Sus scrofa: one gene and its partner. The protein of the gene in region 2 binds, or shares a complex with, the protein of the main gene of each other region. Links are inferred from orthologs where the notes say so. Each region holds a gene or a part of one and is shown on either strand. Other genes may lie near its edges. The genes, in order: CLEC1B and PDPN.

Region 1 (2,625 bases), on a different chromosome or scaffold from region 2:
ATCAGAAAATGGAAGGTAAGAGGCTCCATGACTGGTCCATCATTGTCTTTGAGCTAAATGATCACTGAACTGGTTCCAAGTTTAGTATACATTCCCCTAACTCATGCTGTCTTTCAAACTTAGATGCTTTACATAGTCTCGAATTATATATTTTGCGCAGTTTAAGTTAGTTAAGGCTTAACTTTTCTTTTTTTTCTTTTTTCTTTTCTTTTTTTTTTTTTGTCTTTTTGCCTTTTCTAGGGCTGCGCCCACAGCATATGGAGATTCCCAGGCTAGGGGGTCTAATCCGAGCTGTAGCCCACGGCCTATGCCACAGCCACAGCAATGTGGGATCCAAGCCGTGTCTGCAACCTACACCACAGCCCATGGCAACGCCGGATCCTTAACCTACGGAGCAAGGCCAGGGATTGAACCCACAACCTCATGGTTCCTAGCCAGATTCGTTAACCACTGCGCCAGGACGGGAACTCCAAGGCTTAACTTTTCTTGTTTCAACTTAAAATGTATGCATTTAATTAAAAAGCAAGTCAAGACACAGGCTTCCAATACCTAAAAAAAAATGTGTTTATGTTTGAAGATGCAGTGACTCACTGTATGTTGAAACAATTGTGAATGGAGGACAAGAAGAATGAAAATTAATGGGAAGAGAACAATTAAATAATCAATTCTCTGACTGGCTTCTGGATTATAAAGAAGGCATTAAGTTATTCCTAATTATAAAGAAGGGACTAAAAGGCGTTGGTAGGAAAGGCGAAGTAAAGATAACTCCAAGGGGAATAAAGGGAAAAATAAAGCAATGTTATGGCTGATGAGTCTTTCATCCAGATCTTTTATTATACAATCAAGCACTTGTCTGTGACATCCTGCCCATCTCTTTGCATTAAAGTAGTTGGTCCACCTTTGGCATGCCTGCCTTCCTCTCACACATTAAATAATGTTTATTCTCACAGAAGGTAGGGTGGATTTTTCCATTATGAAAATAAGCACAATTCATATTTTCTGTTCCATTTCCAGAAAACTTAATCCTGTGAATGCAAAAGGTAGAATGATTTCCTTGGAAAGCTAAATAAATAAGCAGCAATCAAACTCTGTGTATAGTACTTTGGTGCACAAAGTGAAGACAAGAAGTATGGGGAAAAACAGTAAAAAACAACACTCAGAACATTGAGGAAATTCCAATTTGCTTGGGAGTATGAAGCATGGACTTTTGAATAGCTCATAGCAATTTATTATAGGATAAGATTAAGCAGAAGTGAACAGTAGGTGCAATAGGAGTTCAGAGGAAAAGATGGGTGGGGATCTGAAATGATGAGAAAGGCTCCATCTTTTTATATGAGATTATACTTTAGTTCTGTTTTGAAGGAAGGACAGAATTTATATCAACAGAGATGAGAGAGACTTGTAGAGCAAGTACCTGCACAGGATGGAAACAAGTTCAGAGAAAAGTAAGCTGATGAAATATTTTTGAAGTGAGGATTTATATTAGAGGATAATGGATATAAGACAGAACATGTACTGTATTTGCTTGTGAACTTGTCTATATTCCCACCTATGTCACTATGACAAGAGGACAAATGATGTATATTTATTAATTCATTTACCAATATCTTTGGGATCCCTACTACCTGCTAAAGTTGTTTTCTGTGCTGATGATAGAGCGGTAAACAAAGACAGGGTCCTTTCTACAAACAACTTACATTATAGTGAGAGAAATGTTGGTAAGAAGGCAACAAATAGAATATTTCAGAGAATTTGGTTAAGAGTTATGAAGAAACAAAACAGTGTGATAGGATAGAGTTAAGTGGATGGGCTGGAGGGAAGCTAATATAGTTTGGGTAATAAAAATTTGTCTCATTGAGGAAGTGATGTTTAAGCAGAGACTGGAGTCACAAGGGGGAACCCACCATGGACTTCTTGAGACAGAGCATTCAGGAAGGAAATAGCAAGTGCAAAAGCCCTAAGACCTTAAAACATGTTTGATTTATTGAAAGAACAGAGGGATCACAGTTTGCCTGCAATGTTGTGAATGAAGCAGCCAGTGATGAGAATAAAGCCTGAGGTCTATAAAGAGGCTTGCTTGTACTTGTGGTAGTCTTGGCGCCTATGCATAGTAGGTAATAAATACCTATTAAATAAATTAATTAAAATTTTAAGTAATGATCAGATTAAGTTTGGTTATCAGTTTAAATTTTAACGGGAGAGACATTGCACAAGATAAACAAAAGGGGATTGGAGATTGGAAAGCCAGTTAAGTAACTCAGAGTAATTGAGCCCTTTGCCTGGACTGTTTGTTGAAGGATAGAGACTGTCAACATGAAAATGAAAATCATCTTGTGAAAGACGTGCCTGATTCTTGGAAACCCCGAGGAAGATAGACGAGGTAAAATGATACTGAAAAGTCAAAAGAACCCTCAAAATAATAACTTTCGACCACAAAATAGTGAGGATGATCATTTTGTTATGAAATTATGTGAAGAGAATCAAATCAAGCTAACACCCCCCCTCCACACCCACCCACCCACCCATCTACCTGCGCACATAAAATATTCCAATGACAAAGGTGAGGGTAGAAAGGAATAGGACAATATCAGGAACAGGGGTGGAGTGTGACTTACATAAAGAACA
Region 2 (3,829 bases):
TTCCAAAATATTTTGCTCTCCAAGTGGAATTTCTTCAAAATAGACCTCATCACAGTGGCGACTTTTCCATGATCTTGACATTGACCAAAAATCCAACCACCTTGGATTTTTTCATTACCCTAACCTCAGAAATTAGTGACCATGTATTTAAGATCTCTGTGGATCAGTTTCCTTGCTGCTGCTCTCTAAAACGGGTGAGAAAAAAAAGTAACATCCACAAAAGAACGTAGGTGTGAAGAAGCACTCATAAATTCAATAATAATAGTTTTGAAGACGGGATCGTGTCAGAGCTTGCTTAAAAAAATCCCCTGATCCCATTTATTTCAGAAATTATCCACTTTGCTTGTGTTTTGCTCCCTTCCATTTAGGGTAAATTCATCTTCTGCCAATTGTTAAATTATAGTTATTAAATCCTAATAATTCTATATCATTGCATCTCTCTCTTTATAGATAAAGGAGATGAAGAGAAATCAAAAACAGTTACGAAAGGTGGGTTAGACTTTGGTACCAAGATATTCTTACTGGAGTTTTTTAAAAGAAAGTTTTATTTGAATTTAACCTTTGTGATGAATTATGTTCTCTCCTGGATCATAGTCAACAGGGGCAGAATACAAAACCTAAAGAGAACAAGTTTTCAACCTAAAGAGAGAAAAGGGAATAGCCTGTATTTGAAAAGAAGCAAATCACAAATGAGTCTATTCACTTAATGACAGCTATGGAGAATGGTGTCATACCTTAGCTTATTCCTACCAAGAATGAAAATAGGGGCTAATTTAAAAGCTCTATGTACACAAATGTTACCCAGTAATTAACAGTGAAGCCACCTCGGAGGAGTGGTATGCCTGACAGATCCTGAGACCCAGAAGTCTTTCCATTCGCAAAAATGAGATTAGAATAACCCAGAGTTTCTCCTTTCAGTCAACTCCCACTGGATACAGAAGAGACAGCGTGGAACACCGTTTGCTCCCGACAGTGGGCCGGGGGCTTTGTTTATCGAAGGTGTATTGTTTACCTAGGGTTCATGTTTGTTTTTTTTTTTTCTCCCTCTTATTCAGATGGCTTGGGGACGGTGACCCTAGTTGGAATCACAGTTGGGGTCTTACTAGCCATTGGATTCATTGGTGCAATCATCGTCATGCTTGTGCGAAAAATGTCAGGAAGATACTCGTAAGTAGGGACCTTGCCCTTGTGTGATGGGTAAATGAAGGCAGGCATCTCCACCCTGAAACTATTAGAAGCCTCTACATAAGGGTCGTGTTCAGAAGCCACCAACCTCCTCCGTAAGCACTTCAGCTGAAGTTCCCCCAGAACAGGTGTCTTCTTGGACCTTACAAGTTTCCAAGAAAAGGAAGAACCAGAGAGGCTTCTTTAGTTGACTTCCAATGACACCTGACCAAATTCGACCTCTTGTCTTTATTTGCCAACTAAGTGAACTTGAAAGAAAACCCAAATCAGATTTTAACTTAATACCCCATCACTCCACTCCCAGTCATCAGAGGTAGGTGGTTTTCAGAAAAGCTTACATGGCAGAGCCAGGGCCCCCTTCCAGTGAGGAGTACTACTGGTGATGGGGGTCTGTCCCCTGATTCCTGCCCTGCATGTGCCCACACATGGCAGTGTACTCCTGGCATGGATTGTTACTAAGGGGAAGGAATACTTTTTATTAAAATTCCTTAAGAATTTGGACTATGTGAATTCACAGCCAGAGGAAAACATTTTCTTATCTCTGTTGGGGAAATGGTATATGACTGGGTGGGGAGAGGACAGATGCTGTACAGCTGGAGGTCAAGGGCTATGACTGACCGTTCAGGCGCAGGCTTAGGTAGGTATCTGGAAATGCCTGGGAGTCTGACCCTGGGTGTGAGGACCAGGCCTGGAGGAAGGATGAGCAGGGAGAGAAGAGCCCCAGGATCCAGAACTGAAAGACACAGGACAATAGGGACAATGACTCACGGGAAGTCTAGTCACAGTGCCAGTCAAAGAAATGATAGTCACCTTTCTCTTGGTTTTCCCAGGCCCTGAAGAGCTGAAAGATCATGCCCTCCTGCCAACACGTTTAAAGAAGAAAAAGTTTTCAACCGCCCCCTCCCCCGGCCCTGAGCACGTGGAGAAGATGACCCGTGGAAATGCTTGCCTCCCCCTGCCCCCCGCCCCCCGCCACCCTCAAAATCCATGGCGATCCCTCCACTTGCCAGAAGTAACCGCAGGAAAGAATATTCATAAGACTTGCTCCTCTAAGCATTTGTCTTTTGGGGAGGAAAAAAATTTGTTTTAATAGAAATTTTGCATAAGATGACTTAAAAGACAAACTGCATAGAAAACAGAGCAAAACTACATCATCTGATGTGTAACTCAGTATCATTCAATCTATGTTAGAAAGTGTGATTGTGTCTCTGCTCCACCCATTCTCTCTTGTTGTTACGATGCAAAGGAATTTGGAAATATTTATCCCCATGGCGTCCTTGGGTTAAAAGCTATGTCATTAAGTGGCAAAAGCATTGTACAGTTTCTGGTCTGTTGAAATGTACATGTTCCAGTCTAATTAGATCTGTTTTGAAAGTCTGATTTGGTCTGAATGATATGCCAGTACAGAATCTAAACTTGCATAATATGTAATGAGCAACTGCCTTTCACTGGTCTGGGTAAATCATTTCAAAGGCATCTATTTTAGATCAGACACAGGACGTCTGTACTTGGGGGAAGCCATCCTGTTTCTTGCAGCAAGGGTACCGGACAGGCTCCAGGTGTGCCCTGCTGCCTGCCCCATGAGTGACTTGATAATTCAAAGGTTTCCATCTGCCTGCCCCTTCCACTCCCCTCAGATGGTGGGGATCCAGAGCTAAGGGGGTGACTTTCTTTATTCCCTGTGACGTGAGTCCTCCAGGTCGGCTGCTTTGTTCTGGAATCTAAAGCTCTCAGCCCCAGGTGCCAAAGTGGCTGCAGGAAGCCCAGAGGTACCAGAGCTCAGGTCTTCCAGGAATGAAGAACCACAGTGCTCCCCCAACCCTGTGTGTGGCTCTGAGAAACAGAACCTGCCAATTTACTTTTGGCCTCAGAGGAAAGATCTGGGGATACTAATTTTTGAAAAGCAGCTGGCTTTGGAGACTTGATTTAAAAAGCAAAGACATTCCTGCTTTTCATGATAGCCCACATATTTCTGTGGGGTCACAATTGAAAATGCTATATCGGCACCCCTCCAACTCAGGACCTTTCTCCCCCTAGGTCAACTGAATTCTTTCCCCTCCACGAAAAGTTTTCAGGCAGAGCAGATGCTGTGTCCCTCTTGTGGCAGCGTGGTTCTGATGGCTCTACAGACGTGTGCGGGTTCATAAAACAGGAAAGTTAACTAGCAGTTGGAAAGTACAGCTTATTCCTCCCACCTGTTGCAGTCACGTGGGGATGTTATTTTAAACAGTGTGCCCATGTGTCATTCTGTCCAGCTGGTCTACCAGCCCAGGTTCCATACCTGACCATCCACAGATGGAGAGAAGGGGCTTCGGAGGAGCTTTATGAATCTCTTCAAAATCCTTCCGTTTCATCACTCAGATTCCTGAGCAGGAGTTGGGAATACTGTTCATCTTTCCTATCCTCTCTTCTTTCTCTCACTGTGAAAAATCATAGTCAACCCCAAGTCATACACTGGACCCATCGCCTGCTGGGACAGGACTGTGGGTTTCTTGGTCACATCTGTGTTGGTGCTCAATGCAGTGTAGACGTGTTTGAAAATAAAACAGACGATTGTGTATAAGAATGAGTCAGCCCCTTTGATTGGGAATCTCGATGAAGTCTGGGTCACCCATAAGGACGTCTCCAGTTAAGACTACAAATT

The links.
Region 1: the proteins of PDPN (region 2) and CLEC1B are in contact, whole or in part, in a crystal structure (PDB 3WSR), measured with the Homo sapiens proteins. The link is inferred for Sus scrofa from reciprocal best matches to the Homo sapiens genes PDPN and CLEC1B. Residues at the interface, in NP_006465.4 of Homo sapiens: Ala46, Glu47, Asp48, Asp49, Val50; in NP_001380271.1 of Homo sapiens: Arg107, Phe116, Arg118, Arg152, Thr153, His154, Leu155, Arg157.

Annotation. Positions count from the first base shown.
Region 1 is NC_010447.5:61,889,063-61,891,687, forward strand, and holds the end of CLEC1B (C-type lectin domain family 1 member B), read right to left. Parts: intron 1,026-2,625; coding exon 881-1,025; 3' UTR 812-880; downstream 1-811. UniProt on the Homo sapiens protein: C-type lectin-like receptor that functions as a platelet receptor for the lymphatic endothelial marker, PDPN.
Region 2 is NC_010448.4:73,046,253-73,050,081, forward strand, and holds the end of PDPN (podoplanin), read left to right. Parts: intron 1-450; coding exon 451-489; intron 490-1,055; coding exon 1,056-1,167; intron 1,168-2,015; coding exon 2,016-2,022; 3' UTR 2,023-3,748; downstream 3,749-3,829. UniProt on the Homo sapiens protein: Mediates effects on cell migration and adhesion through its different partners.